Cricetulus griseus: one gene and its partners. The protein of the gene in region 2 purifies or fractionates together with the protein of the main gene of each other region. This does not show direct contact. Links are inferred from orthologs where the notes say so. Each region holds a gene or a part of one and is shown on either strand. Other genes may lie near its edges.

Region 1 (4,132 bases), on a different chromosome or scaffold from region 2:
CTAGGGGAGCTGATTACAGCAGCCTCGTTAGTGTCACCCCCTCCTCCCAGATCTGTCATGGCCACTTAAGTGCTAATAAATCCTTCCCAAAGCAGCCCTTGGCAGGAGTCATGGATCTCATGAGGACCGCCCCTCAACACTGCCAGGGAACCAGGAGCCGGAAGCCCGTCCTCGTCCCCTTCCTCCCTCAGACCTAGGGTTCTGGACCCAAGTTCTCACCTGCCCACTTCTGAGATCTGGGACTAGACAGTCACTCCGGGCTCCCCCCACCCAACCAAGAAACAGGAAGTCTCTTGGGGAAGTCCCCACCCCCAATTGAAGGGCTGGTTTAGGTCTTTTATAGGGCCTCACCCTCTCCACGGCCCTAAGCAAGGGGGAACCAGCAGGGTTGTCAGCAAACTATTAGGCATATTTAAGCTCTGAAAACACGAGGTATTATTTCCTCGGGGTGGGACTTAATTTCTCTCATGGGTTCACTTGCATAGGCAGATTTGGGGAGTTCATGTCAAGAACCCGAAGATGGTGGAGAGTGGCACTGCGGTGTGACCCAGGGGCACTCAGTCGGGAAGAGCAGACACAAGAAGGCGGTTAAAGACAGGAGTGAGGCAAAGGGGGGGACCCGGGGAGTCCCCAGAGACAGGGATAGAGAGAGAGAGAAGGGCACTTCTGAGATCTGGGACTAGACAGTCATTCCGGGCTCCCCCCACCCCGCCAAGAAGCAGACAGGAATTGGCTGGCCAGTGAGCCCGAGCCTGAGGGGCAACAACAGTTGAGGTCGCAGAGGATGAGAGCGACCCAGCGGCAAGAAAAGAGTGATAAAAGGCGCAGGGGACCGGCTGCTGCGGTTTGAAGCAGCAGAAGCCAGGGAGGAAGACAGCTTTGGGGGAAAGGGATGGATGGAGAGCCTGGGGCTCGCAGACGGTGAAGCTCGCCCGCCCGGGCGCGCGGAGGCGCGGAGCTTAGACAGGGAGGCGCACACCTTTCACTTTAACCTCTGCGATGCGGAGGCAGAGGCAGGCGGGTCTCTGGGAGTTCGAGGCCGGCCAGGGCCACCTAGTGAGCCCTTACCTTAACTAAGAAAAGAAAAGAGGAAGGGCCAGGGCAGGAGCTGGGCAGCAGCGGGGCAGGAGGCCATAAAGCAGGACAAAGGCGAAGGGGAGCCGGGCGGGGCGGGGTGGGGCCGCACCCGCGGGGAAAGGAGGAGGAGGCGCGCGGGCGAGCGGGCGAGCCGGCGAGCCGGCGAGCGAGCGAGCGAGCGAGCGAGAAGGGGAAGGAAGCCGAGGTGCCGGGCGGGCACGGGGCGCCGGCAGGAAGCGGGGAGGGGCGGCGGGCGGGGGCTCCGGAAAAACGCCCCGACTTCCTGCCCGCTGGAGCCAGGAAGCCGGAGCCGGGACGCCGGGCCCGGGATCGCCGAGCCCGACCTCGGGCGCCCCGCCGGTCACCTCCCCGCGCGCGCGGACACCAGGTACATGGTCCCTGGCCCCGCCCGCCCTCCTCCTCCCCCTCGGCCGCAGGGGGAAGTGGGGAGGAGCAGGGAGGGGACCCGGCGGCCGCCGAGGGCCTCCGGGCCGGGGGTGGGGTGGGCAGTGAGCCTGCAGCCTCCCTTCCTGGGACCTGAGTTTTCTCATCTGTCAAAGACAGCCCAGAGGAAACCCCCGCGAGGTGGCTGGCGCGCACGCCTGTCAACCCAGAACCTGGGAAGCAGAGGCAGGAGGATTGCCATGAGTTCGAGGCCAGCCTGGTCAACCTAGCGTGACCCTGCCTCAAAAGGAAACAAAAACAAAAACGAGAATGAGAGACGAGGAGGTGGGGGGACAGAGAGAAAGAGGGAGAGACAGAGAGAGAGACAGACAGACAGACAGACAGACACAGACAAGAGAGACAGACACAGAGACAGAGATAGAGAGATAAAGAGGGAGAGACAGATACACAGACAGAGACAGAGAGAGAGAAAGGGAGACACAGAGAGACAGAGAGAGAGACACAGACAAGAGAGACAGACACAGAGAGAGACAGAGACAGAGAGACAAAGAGGGAGAGACAGAGATACACAGACAGACAGACAGAGACAGAGAGAGAGAAAGAGGGATACACAGAGAGACAAAGAGAGGGAGAGACAGAGAGAAAGAGAGACAGACACAGAGAGAGACAGAGACAGAGAAAGAGGGAGAGACAGAGAGACAAAGAGAGGGAGAGACAGAGACAGAGAGACAGAGATAGAGAGACAAAGAGGGAGAGACAGAGATACACAGACAGACAGAGAGAAAGAGGGAGACACAGAGAGACAGACAAAGAGAGGGAGACACAGACAGAGAGAGACAAAGAGGGAGAGACAAAGAGACAGACAGAAAGAGACACAGACAGAGACAGAAAGACAGACAGAGGGAGAGACAAAGAGAAACGAGAAACAGAGAGAGACAGAGACAAAGAGAGAGACAGACACACACAGAGAGACAGACAGAGAGTGCACAGTAGGTAGAGATAAGCTAGGTTGGGATCCAAACTGCCCACCGTTCAGCGCAGCTCAGAACGATGACCCCCATTTACCCCTGGGGAAACTGAGGCCCAGGGGGAGGGACCCCCTCGTCGTAGGGCCCATGGATACTAGGTTAGAGGTCCTAAAATAAACAGTATGGAGCCGAGAGTTGCGGAGCGTTGAAAACGTCCTAGGAAGCTTTTTCTAGTTCCCCCCTCCCTGGGTTATTAATTATACTCTGGGAGATATCTGGGTGTAGGGGAGAGACCGGGGACAGACAGGGAGACTGAGGCCTAGAGAGAGAAGTCATTGCTTTTCGCTGGTTCGTCTGTCAGGGGGAGAGAGAACACTTCAAGCGCACGGGTGGGTTTGGATTTGTTTTGTTTTGTTCTTTCCGATTGCAGCGGGGCGGGGACGGGGGGGAGCTGAAGGGGCGACAGACGGCGTCGGTTAACAGGTTGGGGAGTTGGGGAAGGTGGACGAGGTGGGAAGACCCCATGAGTGGGCACTTCAGACCCGAGCGACTTGGAGATCTGAGACTGAGCGCGAGCGGGGCGGGCGGGCGCTGGAAGCAGCCACCACTCCCGCAAGGGGCGGGCGGGACCCGGGAGACTGACAGGAGCAGTCGAGATACGGAAACGCCGGCCCTCCAGCGCGGGCCAGAGCGGCCCCGTCGGGCCAGCGTGGCGCCGTGGAGCGAGAGCGAGCGGCCGGCGGGAGGAGTAGAGTTGCCGAGGCCGGAGAGTGGCAGGAGGCGGGCTAGAGCAGCCAGAGGGAGGAGTGGAGCTGGCCGCCAAGGCGGCCTCTGGCTCGGCTAGAGCGACTCTGCGGCGCGGGTGGGGGAACCCCGAGCTCGGGCGCGGAGGCTTCGGTCCCGGAGGCTGCAGCGGCTTCTCATCCATCCCATCCGACAGGTGAGATCCGCAGCCTTCCCTCCTGCACGTCTTCCCTGACACCCGTGCTGCCACAGTCGCTGTGGTACTGAGCGCCCGTGTAGATCGGTTCCTCGTAAGATTTAGGGCTCCTCAAGACCCGCCACGTTACATCGCTTGTAAGACCTTACATACCTTCCAGGTTTCAGGAAGCCTTTCACGCAAACCCGGTTTTTGTTTTTTTTTTTTTTTTTTTAATAAACATGGGCTTCTCCCAGGTCAAACCAGGGCCCCACAGAACCCACCCAGCACACACCCCCGTGGAGGTCCCACAAGCCCGTCAGTTTGCTTTCTCTTTCCAGTCATCTTCACCTAGCTGGGTTCTTGAGGCCCACTGTTATCAAATAGAATCTGGCAGGGTCATACACATTCCAAGAGCCTCTCTTAGGTTTCTCAAGGCTTCTAGAGGTTCTTGAATACCCGAATACTCCATTCTGAAAGCTTGGGTACCCTGGCCCTTGCAACCCAGGCAGCCACCCTCCAGGACCTCCTCCTCCTCCTCCACTGCATAAACCTAAACCTGCCTGACAACCCCCCCTCCTCCCTGCCACAGCCTCAAGTGCAAAGTGCTCCCTCTGCCGGACAAAGAAGTAGACTTTGACCGTTGCCTGTAAGAGTGTCTTTTGCCAGCTTCACCTATATCCTAATTGTCCAACGCTCCGGGTCCAAGCACAGACTTCTGGAGCTGCTGGGTCCATCCCGGGTGACCGCTGAGGTCGCAGCA
Region 2 (4,056 bases):
TGATCTGCTGTTATGACAGGAAAAAAAAAAAGTCTCTTGCCAGTCATATCCTCTGTAATCTGGCAGGAAACCTAAAATGTCCTGCCGCAGTCCTATGCTGTAGGCTTATCTGCTTCCTTGGGAAGAACGCGCATCACAGTGTCCGGTTTAGGGGGATTTTCACCATGACCTCACCCTCTCCACCATTCACTGACCTCAGCAGGCATTACCCAAGTCACAAATGAAGCTCGGGTGGGATCCACATTAGCGAGCCAGCCACCAGAGACCTTGCTAGCACATCTCACATGAACAGCATCAACTCTAACTCTTCTCAAACCAGGGCAGGTATCAATAATGCCCTGAACTGCTCCAGAGGGGTGTTGATCAATAAGACATTTGACATCTAGATATCCTTCTAGACTCAGGATGGTAGAATGGCAAGGGAGTCGCTGCTAATTAAATGCGTGGGCTTGGATTAAAGCGCTTGCCTGTAATCCCAGCAGTGGAGAGGTAGGCTGAGGCAGGAGGATTGCCACAAATTTAAGCCAGCTTTTGCTGTACGATGAAATCCTATCTCAAGAGTTAAAATAAGGGGGGGGTGGTGGAGTGGGGGGACAAAATGTGATGAAGGAAGGAGGAGGCACCCAGGAACCTTCCAGGCTTGCGGTGGTCTGTGCGGTAATGTCCCAGCCAATGATCTCAAAATAGGAGGTGACAGCAGGCGGCGGGCGAGTCACTAGGGGAAAGGGCAGTGAGAACTGCAGAGAGAAGGAGTCCCTAAGAGAGTGGCATCGGGATGGGCTCACTCGCCTCGGGGCTCCGGGAAGCGACGGCACTAAAGGGAAACAGAAAGTCCGGCCCGGCAGGCGCGCGCCCAGCCCGGCCCGCGTGACTCGCGGGGGGCTCCGCCTCTCACCGCGCGCGCTCCCGGCCGCAGCCTCCTCGGCCAGCGAGCGGTGGGGGGGCGGAGCGGGACTCGCGCCGGCCTCCCCAGCGCGGCGTGCCTGCGTGCGCGTGCCCGTCGGGCGACGGGGGCGTGCACGCCCGGAGGGCCACCGCCCCTCCCTGGGCCCGCCCTCCCTCCCACCCCTCCCACCCTCCCCCGGCCGGCGCGGCCCGCCCTGGCGAGTCAGTCCTCGGGTTCCCTCCCTCCCCGGGCGCGCTCGGGCCGCCGCTGCGCTCCCCGCCCTCCAGCCGCCTTGCCGGAGCCAGCCGCTGCCGGAGGAGGAGGTGGAGGAGCCGCAGGGGCCCGCCGAGGCGGCGGCGGCGGCGGCAAGATGGCGGACTTCCTGCCGTCGCGCTCCGTGCTGTCCGTGTGCTTCCCGGGCTGCGTGTTGACGAACGGCGAGGCCGAGCAGCAGCGCAAGTCCAAGGAGATCGACAAATGCCTGTCGCGGGAGAAGACCTACGTGAAGCGGCTGGTGAAGATCCTGCTGCTGGGTGCGGGCGAGAGCGGCAAGTCCACCTTCCTGAAGCAGATGCGGATCATCCACGGCCAGGACTTCGACCAGCGCGCGCGCGAGGAGTTCCGCCCCACCATCTACAGCAACGTGATCAAAGGTGCGGGGGCGCGGCGGGGCTCGGGGACCCGGGGACCCCTGGGGAGCCGGGCCGGGCACCGCCCTCACCCGCCGGTCCCAAGTCTGAGGACACTGGATCGGACCAGATCGGACGGGCGAGCCCGCGAGCGAGCGAGCGAGCGGGTGGGCGCGCCTCGGGCGCCGTCCCGTGCGCCGCTGTGCCCTGGCCCCTCAGATCCGGGGCGCCCCGCTGTCCCCCCGTGCTACCCCAGTGAGGGTCACGGTCGGCCCCGCACCCCTCGGCTGGCCTCGCCCCCTCCGAGAGGGAAGTGTGGCGAGCAGGGTGACTCCGGGCAGCAGGGCGACTGGTGTCCTCCCAGCACACCAGACAAGCCCACCCCATCAGCAGCCCCAGGTCCCACACTCTCAACCCCTCCCTCTTCTCCCCGCCACGGGTGGGTGGGTGGGTGACCCTAGAAACCGGCGCAGATACCCTTCCAGCTCTGGGCTTCCTAGGCCACCTCTTGAGTTAAGCAAGTTCTGGAACCGCCGCAATGAGGAAACTTTTTTTTTTTTTTTTTTTTTTTTTGCCCTGAGACTCTTGTCAAGGGCATAGAGTGACAGCCTCTGGGGCCTTTTGGGGCAAGAGGTATGAAACTCAAGGGTGTCGAGTTTACTGAACTAGCATCAGGAGAGCCTATTAAAAAAAAAAAAAAAAAAAAAAAAAAAAAAAAAAAAAAACCTAGCACAAGTGGTTTTATCGCCCCAGTGCTACAGGATGTTTGTACTCAACAGTTCAACATGTTGCTTTCTTTCTCTTTTGCTTAATAACTCGGAGCAGGAGGGGGAATAAAACGGGCAACATTTCTAATACTTAAATGAATGTATGTTTAACTACGAAGACTCTTTGGCTTAAAAGTCATAAGAGACCTACAGAAGTTAGTGAATATGTGTGGTGTTGGATCATGGGCGTTACAAATTCTGTTTGACAATATTTTAAAATTAAAATATTGTTCCTCAGTGAAAAACACACGACATCTTTATTTCCTAGCATTCAAGGAAGTTTTGGAGGTGGCTCTTGTCATTTGAAATATCACCTTTCTTAAAAATTTTTCTTTAGTGTTATGTATCTTCTACATAAAAGACATTGTCAAAACTGAGGCACAGAGCCCTATGTTTTGAGTGATTAAGGAGTCACCCTGTTTTATCTGGGACTTCGAAGCAAACTACGATCGTAGATCTTTTCAGTTGTTATGTGGCTTTATTTTTTTTTAAGTGGGTTTTTTGTTGTTGTTCAGGAAGTACATGAAGCAAACCCCTTCATGTCTCTCCTCCCGCCTCTTCAGGATTTCAAATGGGGAAAAACTAGAGAGGGAGGCATTGTAGGGCAATGAGGGGAGAAGGCTAGGCCAAGAGCTCACAGTCCACGGCTCTTTCTTAGCCTGTACCTCTGCAGTTAAACTGTAAAGAGTGCTTGTATTTAGTCTGCCCTAATGTTTAGCACAAAACTAATTAAGGTCTCTTCTAAGGCTGTAGTGTACCTTGCTAGCCCATAATTGAAGGTACCTTTGTATCCTGATGCAGTTGAACTTAAAGAATTATGTTAATGAATAGACTAAAGTATTCACTGTAAGGTAAACACCTGCTTTTTTGATATATACTGGGCCTAAGAATTACTTTGAGCATTATTGTGTGATCAAGCCTAAGTCTAACTAGGCATCTTATTTTCTTGGGGTGATCAGAAAGTTGAAAGCAAAACAGTTTTTTCATGTATCCCAAGAAAGGACTTCCTAATAGATTGAGACAGAAGTAACAGTTTGGTGCTAAGAGTATTGAGTTTGAATTGACCTAAGTAAGTGGAGACCTCTGTTTGTGTATCATTTTGCAGTTGGTTTGGCTTTTAGGTAACTGTAAAGCCAGCAGGTGACTGTACTGATTTGAAACTGAGTCTGAGAGTGTCCTGGAAGAAAGTATTGGTAGGAGCTGAAGGACTCTGACTGAACACAGTGACTCAGGGCTGGGCAGCATTATTTATTTTTTCCATTTCTGGTTTTGACCTCCTTCCACTTCAGACATGATTTTATGGATGACAGCATATTAAAATCCTTCCAAGAGAGATTTTTGTTATCGATATTTACTTTCCAAGGCTTCTACTTTTAAGACAATGAACAATTGTTTTTTAAACCTCTGAGAAGATAAAGGTTCTGTTTTGATTCTGGTCTCCATTTAGGGAGTGGGGGTTCTGTAATAGCTAAAAAAAATTAAGGAACCAATACTGAATAACACTGGGGTGAAAGGTTGTGATGGTATCTTAATGACTCTTCCTCACATTTTTTTTTTTTTCCTTTTTAAACAAAGGTATGAGGGTGCTGGTAGATGCCCGAGAGAAGCTTCATATTCCCTGGGGAGATAACAAAAACCAGCTCCATGGTGACAAGTTGATGGCATTTGATACCCGTGCCCCCATGGCTGCCCAGGGGATGGTGGAGACTCGAGTTTTTTTGCAGTATCTTCCTGCTATAAAAGCCTTGTGGGATGACAGTGGTATACAGAATGC
Region 3 (4,284 bases), on a different chromosome or scaffold from region 2:
CTTACATTTTAAAGAGTTTTCCTCCAAGATGGAAGGTTTTAACTTGAGAGGAAACTGCTACATAACCCCTAGAACTCACATAAAAAGGCTGAGTTTTGGAGGTGTGAACTTGTAATCACAATGCTAAGAAGGGTGAAAGTGTAGAGCTTATTCACCAGCATTCTTGGCCTACTCAGCAAGTCAAGGCTGTTGAGAGACTCTTGTCTTCAAAAGGGGGTGAGGTTGTTTGGCACTTGAGAAAGAATGCTACCCATTGCTGTCCTCTGGTCTCCACAAGCACACCTGTGCAAGAGCACATCAGCTGTTACGATCTAGAAGGTAAGCGCTCAGAAAGTTCAAGAAGTTTCTGTAACAAACAAGAGTCACAATGGCCCTCCCCAAGGTTATAGGAAGCAATAACAACTCCAACTGGCCCAGTGGTGATCGGTAGTCCACTGTCCTCACCCGTGCTGGAGTGCGTTTTTTTCGTGTGCAGCTGTCTTTAAGCTGCTCATTTTCCTAGAAGTAACGCCAATAAATCCACAGGCTCACTAGGATAGGCTTTGGCGAAATTGTTGGTGCCCTATCTGATGTGAACAGATGCCTATTTGTATATCCTCAGGAAGTCACATAACATACACGCATGCACCTGCACACACACACACACAAAACTATAGCAAAGTTCATTCATCAACCTGTGCAAGAAAAAAAAAAAAAAAACATAGGGGAATCTGATTTTAGTAGGTCCTAAATAGATGCTTAATCAGTTTCTTTTCTCCGTTGCTAACACAGGAGGCAAGCTTGGAACTTGAACGGGCTCAGGTAGGCCAAGACCAAGGCAGGCAGAAGGGAAAGTAGTACATGGAAATACACCAGCGCCTGCACAGCTTCCCCAGGCAAGAAGACAATTCCTCCTCAGTCTAAATGCTTCTTTTTACTTCAGTCTTGGGACCTTCTGACTAGCGACGGTTACTTGAAGAGACTGAGAAACCGTGATTTCACGCAGGGGGTGTGCGTCATGAAAATAACATTGTCCTGGAAAGGCTTTTTCACTGAATGAAAAAGCAACGCCATACAAGATACCCAAGCTACTCTGAGAGAAACCGAGAGGGCAGAGTCGGTGGGCATTCGGAGCGGGGAGGGCACAGTTTGGGGGCGCCTTGTAACGTGGAAGGAGACTCGACAAATGAGTGAAAACGAGCCGAGAAGGACGGGGCAGCAGCGAGAGAGCCCACAGAGGCGCGGCCGGCGGACACTGCAGAAACAAAGGTCGAACCTCCGGGACAGCAACACCGGGAGCAGCTAGGCCGCAGCGCACGGGCCGGGGGCGCGCGGGGCCGCCAGAGGTTGGGCGGCGCCAAGGAGGAGCCATCGGCTAGCCTGGGCGAGCAGAGTCCGCTGACGGGGGCGGGGTTGGGCGGGGCGGGGCGGGCGGAGCGGCGGCGGCGGCGGCGGGCCTGGCCTGAGCGAGCGAGCGAGCGCGCGCGGGGGCGGGGCCGGAAGCGCAGCGGCCGCGACGCGGACGCCGGGAGCGGCCGAGCGGGGAGGCTGTGGCTGGCTGGCTGGCTGGCGGCGGACCGGCACGGAGGCCGAGGCCGCGGCCCGGGCTCTCCGCGCCGCTGTGGAGGGCGCCCTGGCCCTAGCCGGGCCGCAACAATAGTGGGAGCGGGTCGCCGGGCGCGATCGGTCGGCGAGGGGAAGCGGGACCGTCGCTCCAGGGCGCTGCGGCGAGAGGGACTTTCGGAGCCTGGACGTGCAGGAGCACACAGCGCTGACTGAGGAAATTGTCTCTGAAAAAGGCCGACCCGAGGCTGGGTCTGAGCACTGGACTGGGCTAGGTGGAGGAACCTGCAGGTCGAAACGGAAAAGAGCGTTTAATATTTCCTGGGGTTTTGGCCAATGCTACCGTTTTGAAGGTAAAAAGCATTGCGCTTCAGGTGTTTTGTGATTTTTTTTTTCTTTTTGTGTGTGTATGTCTGCACAATTGGCTCATTTCAGAATTCCAAGCCTTTAATGTAAAAGATCGGCGTTTTGTTTTGATTTTTGAGAAATTCACAAATTTTGCTTCCCAGGGCCCCACTGGACTCCGTGCTGTGTACACACTGCTGTATGGTTTTATTTATTTTAACTGTGCAAATCATCTGGAAGGTTTTTTTTTTTTCCCCGAGTGCCATTTCGGATTTGTTCAGCCTTTTTTGTTTTGTTTTGTTTTCCTTCCCTGGCATTTTAAGCATTTGGAAAACAGAGATTTTTCAACCTTTGGAGCTTAAGGTTCCCTTGTCAACAGAAGGACAGCTGGGAAAACTGGATTGAGAGGATGATTTTTATCTGTCTGCAGTTAAGACTGATATTTTGAAGTCGCATTCTTTCTGTGGTTTTTTAGCCCATAGTACTAACCTTAAAGACACTTGTGGTTGACGTTTTGATTTCTAAGAAGGTTTCTTTTTCTTTATTTTTTTTTTCCATTTTCTTTTTTAAGACAAGGGAAGGGGAGGCTAAAGAGTCAAGAGAGGAGGAGACATGTTAAGTGGCGGGCGTACACTGGTTCTGCAGTTACCAGGGTCCTGACAACTGGAAGAAAAAGGATTCAGTCTTCAACTTGGGAGGCCCTCCTCTCACCTTCCTTAAAAACCTTAAGGGATTCCGGCCTGATCAAGACATCCAAAGAAGCTACAAGATTCCGGAACTGTGAAGACACCGAGAAACCATGAGCATAAGATTACCCCATAGTATAGACAGGTAAGTTTGCACATACTTTGGGATTTTCCCAACACTTATTAAAAAGGCTGGGAGTTGATGTTGTGTTTTGACTGAACTGAGCTGTGGGCTAGGTAAGGTAGTCTGTGGGTACTGTCAGTATATGTTTATAGTCCCTCTGTGTGTGTGTCCATGTCCAAAACATATCTCCAAATTCTGTGTCGTTTATAGCCAATAAGCAGTGATATGGAGAGGAGGGGAAGATGCTTTCAGTGCTTTTGCCTTACACCAGGTGTAAGGCTGGCTCTGGGTCCTCAACTTGCCAGCCTAGGGATTCCAAGCCTGGACCAAGCCTGGTCATGGGAACCCACAGGGGTGAATGGGGACTAGCTTAAGATTTTTGCGGAGGGTAGGGGGGTGACTGGCAGGGTTGTGGGCCTCCATCAGGCTGACTGTTATGGAATGGCGGGATGAAGTGGTAGGGTGGTTCCCATTTAAAACGAGGAAGATGCTTTTGGCTTGAAATGTTGGGACAGAAATACCCTGTGTCCGTACCAGAACTTTCACCAGTGGTTGATAGAGCTCCAAATGGGGAGGCCACATTCAATTTCTTCCTCTTCAGGTTTAGCATTTACAGTGAGAACTACCAACAGGCTGATGCTTGAGGTTTAATTTGCCAAGCTGTTCTTAATAAGCTTGACTCTGCAAAACAGGCCTTCCCTCTGCTTGAAGCCGGAAGGAGTTGTTTGGCTCTTAGGCCCTTGAAATCAGCTGGAGGCACATGATGCCCCTTCCCCCATGAGCTTGAGCTGCCTTCCCTGTTATTGGCAACATTGCAGCTGGATTGTTCTGTCCTCCAAAGGGTTGGCACAACTTTGGTAGGTATCTGTCTTGTCGTTTCTTCCCCTTCTCCTCTTCAACTCTTCTGCCTTAAAAATCCTCTAAGGGGGCGTGTTTTGTGGATATTCCATACATCCTAACTGGATAGGTAGGTAAGTGGTTGGATGATAACAGTCAAATGAAAAAAATAGTATTTATGAGGAAGGGAGGAAAATCAGTAAGTCAGCAGTTGTTCTTTCTGGGTCAGTTATCCCTTGGTTAAACATGCTAATAGTAATTTCATTTTGATTGTGGAATGTGGCATATAATAATCTCCTCAATACTACCACTGTATTGCCTCACAGTCCCGGTTAAATCTGTTTAGTAGTACTTGTGAGGGAAAGTGTCTTGCAGTGGGGAAGGGGAGGCAACCACAAAGGCAATGTGGCTACTTGGCATCTCCCTTCCCTTTCCGTTGTGGTCTTCTGTAATTTGCCCCTGGGAAAGGATAACTGAAGCTGTCGGGGCAAGGAGGTAAAGGGTGCTTGCCTGTCTGCCCTTAGTGTCCTTTTGGAGTAGGGGGATTAAGATTTGGGTGTCACAAATTTCTATTAAATTGGGGATGTGAGCATATGGAAACCGGGTATTGAGGGATGAGAAGGCAGTGAGGGCTTTTGGGTTAACATGATATGATCCTGTAGGAGCTTGCATGACTTCACAGATTCAGATCCCAGGGTCCTAAGTGCTTTCTTTAGAACTCTTCTTATTTGAACCTAATAATGTTTCTGT

What was found.
Region 1: the proteins of Gna13 (region 2) and Arhgef1 purify together in Homo sapiens (affinity purification with western blotting; 5 studies listed by BioGRID and IntAct, with this or other methods). This does not show direct contact. The link is inferred for Cricetulus griseus from reciprocal best matches to the Homo sapiens genes GNA13 and ARHGEF1.
Region 3: the proteins of Gna13 (region 2) and Arhgef11 purify together in Homo sapiens (affinity purification with western blotting; 3 studies listed by BioGRID). This does not show direct contact. The link is inferred for Cricetulus griseus from reciprocal best matches to the Homo sapiens genes GNA13 and ARHGEF11.

The regions. Positions count from the first base shown.
Region 1 is NC_048602.1:9,645,615-9,649,746, forward strand, and holds the start of Arhgef1 (rho guanine nucleotide exchange factor 1), read left to right. Parts: upstream 1-1,332; 5' UTR 1,333-1,465; intron 1,466-3,250; exon of another isoform or gene 3,251-3,390; intron 3,391-4,132. UniProt on the Homo sapiens protein: Seems to play a role in the regulation of RhoA GTPase by guanine nucleotide-binding alpha-12 (GNA12) and alpha-13 (GNA13) subunits. Acts as a GTPase-activating protein (GAP) for GNA12 and GNA13, and as guanine nucleotide exchange factor (GEF) for RhoA GTPase.
Region 2 is NC_048600.1:122,211,482-122,215,537, forward strand, and holds the start of Gna13 (guanine nucleotide-binding protein subunit alpha-13), read left to right. Parts: upstream 1-1,256; coding exon 1,257-1,539; intron 1,540-3,857; coding exon 3,858-4,056. UniProt on the Homo sapiens protein: Guanine nucleotide-binding proteins (G proteins) are involved as modulators or transducers in various transmembrane signaling systems.
Region 3 is NW_023276806.1:66,851,996-66,856,279, reverse strand, and holds the start of Arhgef11 (rho guanine nucleotide exchange factor 11), read left to right. Parts: upstream 1-1,484; 5' UTR 1,485-2,686; coding exon 2,687-2,718; intron 2,719-4,284. UniProt on the Homo sapiens protein: May play a role in the regulation of RhoA GTPase by guanine nucleotide-binding alpha-12 (GNA12) and alpha-13 (GNA13). Acts as guanine nucleotide exchange factor (GEF) for RhoA GTPase and may act as GTPase-activating protein (GAP) for GNA12 and GNA13.